Styela clava: one gene and its partner. The protein of the gene in region 1 purifies or fractionates together with the protein of each later gene. This does not show direct contact. Links are inferred from orthologs where the notes say so. Each region holds a gene or a part of one and is shown on either strand. Other genes may lie near its edges.

Region 1 (7,218 bases):
GGCTTTGTTTCCACATCGGATGAAGGTGTTTTATTATTGGTGTCCATAGCACTAGGCATATTATCTGATAGCGACACATTCCCGGTACTTCCATTTTCAGATTTGTTATGCCCAGCAGATATGGAAGAAGAAGAACTCTGTGATGAATTGATTTCTTCACTTTGTAATAAACAAATTTCAGCCTTTTCACGAACCAATTTGATTGCCTTTCAAAAGAACATATCATGAGTCAATGACATGAGAACAATCATATTTTAAACTTATTGTCCATCCTCAAACGACCAAAGATAGTAAGGTATTAGAATAAGATAAAAATAATAGTCTAATTAATACAAATGTATCGACAGCTAACAAAGTTGACTATTAAGTGCTTGGTGGTGTGGCCCAAGAGTTAACAATACAATTTCCAACACACCTCCTCTGATTACCTTGTATGGGTTCACAGGTTTGAATCCTGTGGAGAATGATTATGTGCAAAAAGATTGCTGGACTCCTTGGCGCGGTAGGGTGGTTCATGACATCAATTGGTCACAGCTTCTTTCATCAATCTGAATCATCTATCCCAGGCACGTCCAACCTTTTTAGTGTTGCGGGCCACTTTCAAATGGGGAAATTCGATGCGGGCCACAAACGTTTTTAGCAAACTTAAATAGCAACCCATTTCTGATTTACGTTAGAATTTGAGCGTCGCTGAATCATACGCCTGTATTGCGCAACAATTTTGCGGATTTCTGAACACAAGATTCACACAAAGACCATGCACCATGAAATTCAACTCAACTTTTATGCAATATGCAGATACATTGATTGCCAATGATCAATCTTTCAATCAATTTAATACCGCTTTTTTTACGGCGGAGGCCCGTGAAATTATAGCCTTAAAATCTAGTAAGATTTGATATCGTACCAGGAAATTTTTATGTCTTATATGTCCGTATTCACATAAAAACTTCAAGTGGGCTGCACGAATTCTTGCCGTGGGCTGCATGCGGCCGCAGGCTGGACATCTCTGATCTATCCCATACCCAGCATAGACTGGTAACTAGTCGAGATGTCGTGGTTCGCCATCTTATCGGCTTCCATCTCCCCCAGGATAAAGATGTAAATCCTATCTTATTCTAAGAGTAGCATATGATATCAATTAGGTTTCTGAAAGACCAACTACATATTATACTCATCTAGTACATCACAATTTATACCTGTATTTTTGAGCAATTAATCTATGCAATTTACATTACCTTCAGTGCGGCATCATTTTCTGATAACTTTTTCCACGAAGGATTTGATGCACAATTTGGATTAGTACAATTTTCTCTTTTGCATCCTTGAGTCAGCCTATGAAAATATTGCTCTATTTTTCGTTTTATAGCTTGTTGCTTCAAATTTGTTTGGTTGCTGTTTGAAGACATTTTTGCTGCTGTCGACACAGAGCAATTTTGATTTGCTTCGATACCGTTAGAGTTGGATGGCTCTGTATTTGATGTTACTTCAGAGTTCCTGAAAACATATAAAATCTGATATGAATTGCTAGATTGTAATATTATAATTGGTAATCAATCATTAAAAAAAACACTGACAGACTGAGAAAAATCAATCAATGTATTGATCTTTCATCAATAACATGGAACAGGATTTAGGTTGGCTCACTCACTTCGCGGCCATCAACTTCATCGATTAATTTAATACTGAAAAAATTAACGAACCGCGAAAATATTTCTCACGCATTTTCGTCCACTTATCCCTCGTAGCTCTGCGAAATTACACTAAAATGCGGCCACAAACAAAAAAGTTACGACTGAAAACCCGCCCGAAGAAAAAAAACGGACCATTTTTTCATGTCGCCAACTACCCATTGTCCCCTCAAAAAAGCTTGAAAATCTATACAAATATAGGAGATAGAAAGATGAAACTTGGCAGGTGGGTAGAGTTGTGGTTCTTTTAACCATCCGCGTTTCAACATTTAAAGGAGGGGGAATAGGGGGGTGCCCATTTCCAATACGTCGATAATATCTTTGTCGACCAATTTGCGATCACCGTGTTTTTGCCTGTTTGAATGCTGTGATGCGGTGCTTTGTTTATAATTTGACGAGTTGTGTTCGAAATAACCGTGTTCTTAAAATATATGACGGTCAGAAGTGCAATTAGAAGCCCAATTTTTTCACGCATGGCTGCGTATGTGCTAGTCTCACCGCAGCATAAGCGATGTTCAAGGCTTGAAATCCGCGGTCGCACACTGGTCGTTCGGTCGCAAACACGTCTTCCGAGTGTCGTACTTTGATGGTTTGTAGACTATAGCTTTAATCCCTAGTCGTAGAAAGTTAATTCGAGGATTACCGTGTAGAATAAATGCCAATGCACATACGGTGAAAAAATTAACGGGTTAGAAATATTAGTTTTTATTTTTCATAGCGGTTTGAATGAAATCGTCCGCAGACTGGCTGCACCACCCTACCAGTCACTCAGTCAGCAGGTACAATTTTTTTCATGCTTATCCCATGGGATATTAAACCAGATCAAGTACCGTATAAGACTATCGAATATGGTGAACCACAACCCCTCATCTGAATAGTAGCTCATGCAGATGCATGTACAGATCTGCAGATGTACGGTATGAAAATAGTTAACACTATAACATGATACCGTATTTATTGCAGGTATATAGTCTAACTCTTGAGGCGGATTTCAAAGGGTCTACCGGTAGCGAAGTAAACATCATACGGCTGTACGGTACGGTAGCTTTTTGAAATGACGCCAAACAAAAAAGTGATGTGGAATACGGTAACAATGATGGAAGGTTGAAAACACCTAATTGAAATCCCCTCGCCACAGTCCAGTAGTCAAGTTCGGTACTATGTTAGGATTATTTCGATCATACAAAATAGAAAATCATGTTAACGCACCTATCCCCAGGCTGGTCTCCATCAATATCCATTCCCAAACTCGTTACTTGAAACAGAACAACGCAACCGACGTTAAATTACATAGGCTATGCACTAAATGCCGTCCAGTGACTCCATAATACAGAAGTGACGTGTTGGTTCGTTTTCTGGCATATTGCACGCGTCATAGGGAACAGGAATGCCATCCCGCAATTTTCATTAAAAACCACAACTGAGATTTATACACCTCTTGAACACAAAACACGAGTCCAAAACTACATCGATTTGATCACAATAATTGAACAACTCGGTTGCGCTCTTGCTAAATCTTTAAAAATCAAAATAGTATATCAAAGATCAATGTGTTGTTGACTTTATATAACAGCTCCGATAAAGTTGGCCAGTTTTCTTAATCAGTTTCCTCTCGTTATCCTTTACCGTCTTGTCATTTTCAAAAGTTATCTCTAGTAATGTATTCTTTCAGATAATCTACTAAACAATTCAGCAATCAGTATGTACATTTGTCCTCTTCGTATGTTGATATCTGACTTGGGACTCGGGAGTGTAGTGACTCGGCTTCGGCAATCGAATTATTTATGGATACGGACGACCCATGACTTGCTTGAAAGGAAGGAGTCTTACAACCAACACTGGATATAACATACACAAGAATGGATACACAAGAAGTGTCCACAGTAGAGATGTACCGATACCACTTTTGTCGCTGATACCGATACCAACTAAAAACGCAGATACCGATATCCAAAAAAGCCGATACTATGTAATTATTGTGTGTAATTAAATGTGCAGGGCAGATGGATTAAAACAATAGCCCCTTTCATAGTGCACTTCAGATTGAAAAAGAGATATATCACATAATAAGAAATTGATGTTTGGGATCCCGATGCGTTAATTGAATCAGATGCATTGTGCACCTACACTAGTAATCTCGGTGTTCAATTTAAAAACTCATAGTGTTGGCTACTGCGGGTTGTTAATAATAAACGAATGTTTACTCATCCTATTAAACTGATACATTGAGTTACAGGATTTTGTGCCAATATAACGACATATTTTGTATTTTACACATTGGAAAATCAACTAATATTTAATTGATATATTTCTTCATAATTACTAGATAGTATTAAAAATATCAATATAAAAATTTGGCAGCAAAAATATCCAAATTAGTTGAGCTAGTTTGTTCAATAAATAGCTAAAAATAGGTCAGAATCCGATTTCCGTTTCTACTCGCGGGGGTAGGGACGTGCATGGCTCATAGTTCACGATTTATCCAAGAAAAAAAAATTCAACATCAGTATTCTAACTTATTTTTTAAAACTTCCTGGATCAGATTAAAAAGATAAATATATCGGAAATACAGGTCTACATTTAGTCGATACCGATACCCAAAATTTGACCCATATTGCCGATACCGATACATTTCTAGTATATATATATAGTGGTGACAGTCAATGAGGATTTCAGTAGGATCGATTTACAAAAGTGGATTGACAATGTCAAGTTTAAAATACCGGTTTTTAAAAAATTTATTAAAGTTCTCATGTCAAAATTTACGAAACTAAACATTTGATAAATGAATTTTATTATCATATATATATACATTATAGGCTATTAGTAATTTACAAAAACTTTATAAATATGTTGTGTATTGCACTTCGCGCGTTCATATTTTAAATATCATTTTACCAATAAAATATCAACGTTCAATACAAGGTCCTTGATTTTTCCCAACTAGTATAACTATAAGTTTGAATTCTATTTGTATTTTTCTGAAAAATCTTCCTGCTTTCTATTTGTAAGTGAACAAGAATACGAGCATGTTTCTATCAATATTTCATGCTCTGTTGCATCCTTCACAAAAATCAGTCACCGTTAAAACTAATAATAATTATCACATTCGTCGCCGTCAATTATTTGCTCCATTTGCATTTCTCGGTACAGTCGGTCGGGTCGTCCGTTTGGTGATCTTAATTTAGCATTGTCGGATAACTTCTGTAAACATGTCTGGAAGAGGCAAGGGCAGCAAGAATAAGACTAAATCTAAAACAAGATCATCTCGAGCTGGGCTGCAATTTCCTGTGGGACGAGTACATCGGCTTCTAAGAAAAGGCAATTATGCTGAGCGTGTCGGAGCAGGTGCACCAGTATACCTCGCAGCCGTATTAGAGTACCTCAGTGCTGAAGTACTTGAATTAGCGGGAAATGCTGCCAGAGATAATAAAAAGAGCCGAATAATACCTCGTCACTTACAGCTTGCCATTAGAAACGACGAAGAATTAAATAAGCTACTTGGAGGAGTAACAATATCCCAAGGAGGTGTGATACCAAATATTCAATCCGTGCTTTTACCGAAAAAGACTGGAAACAAACCAATGTCGCAAAGCATTTAATTTCTAATGCATTTTGACTAATGCATTTCATCAATTTAATGTAACGTTTTGAACTGCTATACACAATTTTAAGTGTTTGTTGAGGTACGTTAACTAATCTCATAAATACATCTAATACAGTGCACATAAGAATAAGCATATTTGACAGTATGGGTTAGCGTTGTGGATTAGATATGACGGGCAAACAAAATATCCGCAATTGGTAGAAATATCTTCTGATGTTTACATCATGTTATAGTCAATACCGGTCATCTGGTACAGTTCTTCATTGAAAGGCTCGAAAAGCGCCTTTAGCCTGGCTACATGTTTTATGTTGGCATCCATCCCACCGTCTTTGTGACGGGTTCTACCTTTGGTTTTCGACAGACAACTAAGATTTTCTTCCCATCCGGCAACAGAGTTAGTTTCAGCGGTAAAGTTGTAGTTCTTCCACCAAGGTCGGACACAGAAAAATCCATTTGATGGATTTTTGACAAAGTCACCTTCACGAAGTAGTTTCGGTATTCCAAGAAAATCTTGTATTCTTTCCATCTGCAACGAAATGTTAACTAATTCATGAGTTTTTCGCTACATACATTAATTCCGCATGCAAATGCAACTGAAACACGTCTTCGTGCTTTTCCTTTCACGAGCGTAAGTTAATCATGGAGTTAAAGAGTTACTGTGTTACATCATCTGAATATAGCATAAAGCGCAGGTTGGACCTTTACAAACTTTTATTTTATTCACTGTTATGAAGAAATCGGATGTTGCTTCATTTGTGAGCTAGCCGCGCGAATAACTATTTACGGTATTCGCGCTATACACGTAATGTCACAAAGAAAAGCTAAGGTCAATCCGGGCCGCGACTGGTTGGTTTCTTGTCCCCTTTCACGAGCTTTGCAGCTCTGCCGATACTTGATATCTAGGCTACATTGACTCACTGGGCGTTTTTTTTTCAATTTTAACCGCGCGACAGCTTTCAATGTTGGAAAGTCCCAAAATCCTTTTGAACATTATAATCGGCAAATTGTGTTTAAAAAGGTCTACCTGCACTCCGGGATTGTTCAAAATATCTTCCCCACTGATAACCATGAGACGTGACGAGTTGAACAGTTCAGTCCACCGAGGAAGAAAAACTGAATAAAATCCTGTTGTTAACAACGTAGCAGCGTGATCTTTATAATAATTAGACATATGATTGTAGAGTGTGGTTGAGGTGTTTAGAGATGTGGATCTGTTCACTCTGTCGAGATAAAAATCCAAATACGAGTCAAACGTTTCGAATTCTGCCACGTCCCGGTTTTTCGAGGATATCTCGTATCTCGCCCTCTGTGAAGAATGAAAAAATGATATTTCAGGCTTTTCAGCCGTTGTAACGTTTAAATAAAATGAGGGAATTTTTAGGAATAAGTTTAAGAAAAAGATGAAGGTTGGGGTATATCCATAACATTACATTCTGTGATAGATTGCCGCACTAGGATTTCAGATATCGGACCATTTAAACGACCCTTTACAAGTTTACACCAAGACGCGAAAATTTTTTGACGGCCTACTCATTTTCGAGTAGCTACTGATGCTAAATGCTAAAACTTACTATCTTGCAAAATTTAGGGGCATCACAAATGTAGTATAGACAGGCCGGGAAAACCAACGAGTAATGAATCATTATGATGTGACATCATTGTACTGTGTATCTCAAAACAATGCGTTCAATAGAACGAAGAAAGTATATTAAATCGAAACGGAGCTTAACAATAGTTTATACCACTCGGTTACGTTTGCAGAAATGCTGTTTATTGTGCTGGACCTTACACGCTAAAATCTTTAATGTTATCTACTGCAAGAAGATTTTTCACCTCGTGAGCATAATCCGAGAAGCTCCTCTTCACAGGATCACATACAACCAAAATTAATTTAGCGTGTGGTATATCCCGATATAGTCT
Region 2 (8,029 bases), on another chromosome or scaffold:
ACTTCTCGTAATACTTCAATAGTAATAAAAAAGTATTCAAAATCTGTTACCTTTCCTTCAGTTACTGTTCTCAATGTATCAATCAATTTTAATTTAGTTTCCATATCAGGTGTTTGATCAACATATTTATAGCATTCTTGAACCATCTTTGCAACTGCCTGAAAAACGAATGTAAATTTTAACAAGGGGCGACATGTTTACATAATGAAATACATAGACATATGCAATGAATTACTATTTATTAGAACTTGAATAAGAAGGAAAACTAGAATATCGGTTAGAAACCGAAGACTTATCAATCGAAGGTTAGGGGTTCCCCAAAAACAGTGGTCTTACTCCATAGTGACACTGTGTGTCCCATCACTAATTATTTAATAACTCGCTAATTATAAGACATAATCCATCCAAAATTAATAGGCTTCTGATCCGAGCTATGATGAATGCACATGCAAAATTTGGAGCAGATTCAACCTCGCTTTCGTGAGATATCGCGTGCATCTAACATACAGACAAACAGACATACAGACAGACAAATACCTATCAACATATTACTAACCTTAAGATCGATAAGTAATAAAAGTCATTTATGATTCAAAAATGTTCAACTAGACTTAAAAAGTTAAGGTTTAGAAACATACGTTGCCCAACTGGGAAATCCTGGAAGAATTTTGTTCTTCTTGGAGAGAAATTTAGCCTTGTATTTGCTATAGTATTTATATTTATTAGTTGTTTATTATCATTATTACTATATCTATAATACTTATTTATGTACATATAATATAAATTAATCAAAACTGTACAAATACTTGTGCATAACTATAGTAGATATTATAGAAAGTGAGGGAGGAAGTTATTTCGGACGATCATCACAAGATATTGTCATTTTTTCTTTCAATTTGATATTTTTTTAACAGCAATCATTTGAGCATATAAATAAATATATAAGTATATTAACTTGAGTGAGCTGAACCTACCCTTATAAAAGAATTTTGTCTTTTTCATTCTTTATACATAAATGTGTGCTGGTCAAAGCCTTGTCTAGAGAAAAATTTATCAAAAACATCTAAACATACTTGTTTGAGTTGGCTTCTTTTCTTCGTGATGACAATAATATTATCGTTGAGCATGTCCCATTCTTTTGCTTCAAAGCAGAGTTTCACAATGGTCACAAGAAGTTTCCCGGTCGAGATCATATCACCAGCCTTAAAAAAAAGTCGAAATTACAAAACTATTTGTTGTGTATATGATCATTTTTGGAACGCCTCAAAAAAATTGCCTCAGGATCAAAATGGAAAAGAGTCAGAAAAAAAGAGCTGCAAAATCTTAGTCAACTTCCCAGAATAATTTTCAAGTTTGAAAAATGAACTTTGTGAGGTCTGGGGAGACATAAATATCATGACACATACAGACATATTTGCATAAACATTACAGCTGTGAAGGAAAGTTCAAGAGCATTCAGAATTATCGACGGATTTCAATATATAATTTCTTTCCAGTCATATAAGAACGAAGAAAAGTTGGTTTACAGGTTTAGGCAAACGTTAACCTACTCACCAATCTTGTCTGTTTTTCTAGTGCCAATAATTTATCCACGGCATCATTGAGTTTTCCATCCTGAAATACAGAATAGTAGTCTAAATAAATATCTATCGCTAAAGTAAAAAGGCAAAAATTACTAAACCTCATTTTTCAAATAATACGGCCGAAACTAGATAATACAAAAGAAACATGCGACTACTGAAAGAATTGTTCCAAGGCAGTGGTTCTTAAACTTTTTCGAGCGCGACCCAAATCTGAGTTTTATGAATACTCGCGACCCAATCCTAAATAACGCAAAATGTGTTTTTAATGTTAGTACAGTTTGACTCAAATACAGACAACTATTTATTAGAAACAGTCCATTGACTCAGTGAGATTGATGAAACTGAAATTTCCTTTTCATTATATCTTCAATACACAGCTCTATTTTACTTAACGCAATACGCAAGTTGTCACGGGTATCGAGGCAATTGCGAGCTTAGTTTTGATAACCGTCAGTGCCAAATATCCTCGCTCGCACAAGTGCCTTGTCGCGAATTGTTGCAGAAAAGGTGTCCGCTGTCTGTCGCAAACATGACATCCTAGCTGGCCTTCGGTATCTCTCGCAATATACAACTTTTTTCCTCATCAAATGTGCACACACTGCTTCGTTCGCAGTAAATGGTGCCTCGAGAAGTCACATTTTCTCTAGATATTGAATAATCCAATGTCGAGAAGCGAGCTTTTTCATTGCGTCGTCTATTACAATTTACATTACCAAAAAGACACCCATTTTTGGTTATTTTAATCCACTACGACGACATTCCACGCGGTTAACACAACGACAAGCGACGTGCATGGTTACCGATACCATAAAAATAATACACGTGACTGGCATATCAGAATTGTGATGTAACAATGAGCTCAAGACAGTTCTCCCCGTGAATGAAATTTTATATTTCATTATTTTTAAATACCAGAGTTTAGAAGCTAAATTGAAACATTGGGAAAGCTGAAAGTTCGTCCTTCTCCTCTTAGATTGACGACCTTGTCGCGACCCATTCTTAAACCTTCCGCGACCCATGTTTGGGTCGCGACCCATACATTAAGAACCACTGTCCAAGGGGTCTGAATAGAATCAGGAAACACAAAAACACTAATGGTTTAAGATTAGATAAGATTTTACCGTTTGATATCGGTAAGGCAATCGTCTTACCTGGTGATAATTAATAAACAAAAGATGATTGGCACGAAATACAGTGGTTGTGAACATGGCTCGTAAATTATAATAAAGTAGACCTGGATAATGAAATAGCAACACAGGAATCTATTACAAAACGAAAAAATCCTAAATTCTGCTACAATGCAAAACAGTTCTCACCGCTGCAACTTGTTGGCATTCTGGAATTACCCTGTCCACCGTTGTTGAGTAATCAACTTCCATTTTCTCTAGTTTACCTTCGGACGCCATTATTTATTTCCCAAAATCGCGTTGTACAAGAGAAATTATCAATGGTATTCAAGCGCAGAACAGCAGACTACAACAAAACGCTCAACTCAGATTATGCCGAGTAATGTTATCAGTATTACTAAGCAAAAATGTCGCCACCTAGTGAAACCCTCAACAAATTGCGGATGGTGATATCGGGTTAAATTTTTATATTAACGTAAATATATAAACAAGCCTGCTTAAAATGACTAACTATATTTTAAATAGATATATTTGTTAATTTTTGAGCTATTCTTTGCCTCTCGCAAGATTGGATTTTATGTATAATTAGACCAAAACTTTCTAAATATTGTAAAATTCAACTTTGAACACAAGTATAAAAAAGTGGTAAAACGACATCTTCTGCCAATTTTTTTTAAAACTCATCAAAATAAGCAAAGTTTCGTGTTATAACCTTCGATGCACAATTCCGTTGCAACATTCACGAAAAATGAACAATCAAGCAACCGGATACGACTCCTTGCACAATGGTCACTTGCGCCCACTCGCGGAGATAAATTTGGTACATTCAAATGTTTATCCACGTTGGAGAGTAGGGTGTCCACTTCATAATTTCGAAGTGTTACATCATGCAGGCAGGCGGTAGTATTTATTGGACACACAAGTGGATCCATGCATCGTTTTATTTTTTGTTGTTGTTTTTCTCGGTATTTTTCTTCTTATCGTTATGAAAAAATGACTTTTTTTTACCAACTGGATCACCAATTGCTTTGCAATTTTCAGTGATTGAAAATTGTATTTTTCGCTAGAAGGCTATTACAGTATTATTTTTTCGTGTCCATATATTTGACTCTTCGAGCATAACTCTATAAGTCTATTGAAAGTTTATGCAGAGCCTATAGAAAGCAAATTATTGCTGGAGCTGTGCCATTCTGCCATTGGTTTAATGAAATGTCTTTTTTTTTACTAGGCTAGTCGCTAGTGCATTACAACTTATCGTAATTCATTTCAGCACTATTCAGTAAATATGACTGAGAAAGAAGTAGATATGGCAACTGAGTTATTGCAATTCTTGGAATTGAATGAACGTGTCAACTCAATTTCATACGCAAAAACCAAAAATTTGGAACATCAAAAAATTGTCGGTTTAATAAAAAGCTTACAAGTTCATGAAGGCGTGATAGACGCCTCACAGAAAACAGACAAAAATTGGGTTCTCTCAACCGAGGGTAAAAAGCTCGAATCAAGTGGAAGTTATGAGTTTAATATTTTCAAAAGAGTTCCAGCAGATGGTATTGCGCAATCTGAACTGGTGAAAGATAAAAATGATAAAATTGGCTTCAGCAAGGCGATGTCTAATAGATGGATCAAAGTGGACAAATCGGGTGGCGCACCGAAGATTTTTGTCGCTGATGGCGTAAACCCAACTGATATTGTTAGAGATAATTTATCAAGAATAAAACAAGGATCTCCCATTCCTGACAAAGATAGGGCGGAGTTGAAAAAACGTAAATTAGTGGAGGAAGTTACTATAAAGAGTTTTGATGTTACGAAAGGTGAAAAGTTCACAACGAAAATTGAGAAGGCAGCAACGGATCTCACAGCTCAAATGATACAAGATGGCTCATGGAAAACAACAACTTTTAAAGATTACAACTACTCTGCGATGGGTATCAAACCTTCAGCAGGACACTTGCATCCCCTTTTGAAAGTACGATCTGTTTATCGACAAATATTTCTTGAAATGGGGTTCACAGAAATGCCAACGAATAATTATGTAGAAAGCTCATTCTGGAATTTTGACGCCTTGTTCCAACCTCAGCAACATCCAGCTAGAGACGCTCATGACACTTTTTTCATTTCCGACCCTGCGGAGTGTGACACTTTTCCAGCTGACTATGCAGAAAAAGTTAAAAGAGTTCACTCAGAAGGTGGTTTCGGTTCGCAAGGGTATTGTTACGACTGGAAGTACTCGGAAGCGAAGAAAAATTTACTTCGTACTCACACTACAGCTGTGAGCGCCAGGATGCTGTATAAACTTGCTAAAGAAGGATTTAAACCCAGTAAATACTTCTCAATAGATAGAGTGTTTCGAAACGAATCTTTGGATGCAACTCATCTCGCCGAGTTCCACCAAGTGGAAGGTGTAGTTGCAGATTACAGCGTAACTCTTGGAGATCTTATGGGAGTGCTACAAGCGTTCTTTCATAAACTTGGTATTACAAAGTTACGTTTCAAGCCAGCTTACAACCCATACACTGAACCATCAATGGAAATATTCAGCTACCACGAAGGACTCAAAAAATGGGTAGAAGTTGGAAATTCTGGAATTTTCCGACCCGAAATGTTATTACCAATGGGCCTTCCGGAAGATGTTAATGTTATCGCATGGGGTTTGTCATTAGAACGTCCGACAATGATAAAATATGGTATAGATAATATCAGGGATTTGGTCGGCCATAAAATCAATTTACAAATGGTACAAGATAACCCTGTCTGTAGAATGGACTTTTGATTAAATAAACAGCTTTGTGCAATTAACTATATCATGGTATAAGACTACATCACGAGACTGAACGAATATAGGAACCTTGTTTGATAAAAGATCGTTGGAGCCTGGGATTCAGATTGCTGCTTTGCCACCATTCTACAACTTTATTAGGTGTTGCTTTTCAGGAATAGCACCCGACCTTTTTAATTTTTTTCTTCTTCTACAATGTTGTATTTCTGTTCCCATATGTTATTGTCTCTATGTTTGAAAATCATATGCCAATGTTAAAGTTTTTAAATGCTATTTAAATAGTCAACGGCTTTCATATGAATATTATTCGACTAGGTATTACGTCAGACCAAGTAAATATATAAGCTTAATTTTGGCTTACCAATTTGTCTGATGTAAACAATTATTTGAAATGCAACAAAATTCACCACTCAATAAGCAAATAGCAGACGTACGGATTTTGTGTAGATCTGATTTTGTGCATTCTATATATAAACATCTTTCAACCAAGCAAAATAAAAACAATTCCCAATTTTTCAAATCCTGAACCTCTTTGCAGCAGACAATAAAGTTATACAAATGATCATATTATGTGTATTTAAACCTGCTGCAATCATTTATTTATGAAAAAGTTTGAAACTTTGTAGAAGTCTTACTCATTGTTGTGGTGAACTAAAATAAATGTTATCAAATCTAGAACTTTGTTTTATCTTGAAGCTACATACAGTTATTTGGTCAGGATGAACCAATGCTTTGGCGTTATTGAATAGAAGAAGAATAAACAGCTGTTCACTTTACCACTGATTTCCCTATTGCCCCCCTAAAATTGAGATGGTCTTCTTAACTTACATATTCAAAGTGGCGTATATATGCCGGTGCAAATGCTCCAGTCAAATACATGTTTTATCACCAACAAAATATACACCACCCCCTCAATGTGGAAATATCCCCTAAAACCAGGGGCGGTCGCCCCCCCAATAATTTCGCAAAAAAATGTAATACATGTTGTTTCCGCCTTACAAAATTATCATTTCCGAAAAGTGCGATAGTCAAGCGCAATTAAACGGTAATAGTTACCGATATTATAAATGTTTTCTTACAATAATTTGGACCAGATCGCCTTCCGAGCACCTCACAATTTTGTGAAACATGCGCGCCCGCATGGGTAATACTCCGTCTTCAAACGCACCGCCGATCACACGCCACGGTTTTACACAACTAATTCATTTTTGTACAATTTAACATGATTTTCTCATTGTCAAAATCTTTCAATAGTGTTATTGTTGGCACTTGCGAGAGAAGTGAAAGTGGCAAACTGTGTTTCATTACAACAATTAATTATTATCGCTAAAAAATTAACTAGATCTAAAGTTGTTATAAACAATTTTCACCGCTGGACGTATCTTTTCACGTTATGGATTTCGTGCAAGGCCCAGCATAATTTGCGGGCAAAGATCAAAGCATTTACTATGTCGAAAAGTTGAAAAGTGGCAATATAAAATACTAAAAATAAAACTGTAAACAATATAAGTTTTGTTGAGGCCCGCGACAGTCTAAAAACGCTTTTCTAGGCATCGAAAATGTGCCTACGGCACAAGTTATGTTTGCTTGACCTTTAAAAACATTTCGTCACTAAAATCGAAACACGGGCAATTGTGAGCGGGATTTGCCTTTTTATCCCTTACTTTTAAATTGACGTCGAAAATTTTCTTGTTAACATTAAACAAAGCTGAGGACGCGACTTTTCCCCGGTTTGTGATGATATATAAGATAATTAAAGTATATTCGATCACTTTTTGTATTTATTTATGTATTTTTATTGTACTGAAATAACTTTTACTACGTGAGAATTGACAGAAACTTTACGGATTTTTCGAAAGGTTTTATCTTCGAAAATAATCGGAGTGACAACATTGCGATTGAGCGGAGCCAGTGTGACAAGTATGGTGGCCCATCGTTGTCACGCGTAAAATTGAAAATAAAAATAAAAAATAAAATAAAAAACCGATAATAAAAATTTTTTTGTAAAAAAACATAAAAATAATTAAAAAAAAAATTAAAAAAAAAATTAAAATTAAAACAAAATAAATAAATAGAAACGAAAAAAAAAAAAAAAAATTAAAAAAAAAAAAAATTAAAAAAAAAATTGAATAAAAAGAAAATAAAAAGGTTGACAACGATGGTCCGCCTCGTGGCCCATCGTTGTCACGCGTTTTTATTTTTAGAAAATTTGCTTCTGCTTGGGACCAACGTTGTCAGGCATAATCCTACGCGCACAAATGTGTTCCCTGGGTTTCAAACTCACTACTGATTTTCTTGAGCAATATTCAATATGAAAATGTTCTATAAATTCTCCATGCTACAAGTTCAACAAGAAGTAATATATTTATAATAATGATAAGAGAATATAGAATTGAATACGAAAATTCGGAAAATTTGTTTTTACGTGTATAAGGTAATTTAATTGGAGAATGCTGCTTAACTACTCAGTTGTCTGGACACTCGCGATGCCGGTACCGTACCGTCTTACCAAATACCGGTAGTCGGTTATAGTCGCTTTG

Evidence for each region. Proteins that work in one complex are often made in the same cells at the same time.
Region 2: the proteins of ubiquitin-protein ligase E3A-like (region 1) and 26S proteasome non-ATPase regulatory subunit 12-like purify together in Homo sapiens (affinity purification with mass spectrometry; 4 studies listed by BioGRID and IntAct, with this or other methods). This does not show direct contact. The link is inferred for Styela clava from reciprocal best matches to the Homo sapiens genes UBE3A and PSMD12.

Annotation. Positions count from the first base shown.
Region 1 is NC_135263.1:13,868,354-13,875,571, reverse strand, and holds the start of ubiquitin-protein ligase E3A-like, read right to left. Parts: upstream 3,057-7,218; 5' UTR 2,933-3,056; coding exon 2,901-2,932; intron 2,464-2,900; exon of another isoform or gene 2,198-2,463; coding exon of another isoform or gene 2,190-2,197; intron 1,498-2,189; coding exon 1,239-1,497; intron 207-1,238; coding exon 1-206. Other genes in the region: histone H2A-like, read left to right, coding at 4,904-5,293; heparan sulfate glucosamine 3-O-sulfotransferase 6-like, read right to left, coding at 5,516-5,824, 6,323-6,604, 7,132-7,218. UniProt on the Homo sapiens protein: E3 ubiquitin-protein ligase which accepts ubiquitin from an E2 ubiquitin-conjugating enzyme in the form of a thioester and transfers it to its substrates.
Region 2 is NC_135250.1:4,207,274-4,215,302, reverse strand, and holds the start of 26S proteasome non-ATPase regulatory subunit 12-like, read right to left. Parts: upstream 3,100-8,029; 5' UTR 2,990-3,099; coding exon 2,900-2,989; intron 1,615-2,899; coding exon 1,555-1,614; intron 1,203-1,554; coding exon 1,074-1,202; intron 159-1,073; coding exon 51-158; intron 1-50. Other genes in the region: phenylalanine--tRNA ligase alpha subunit-like, read left to right, coding at 3,996-5,483.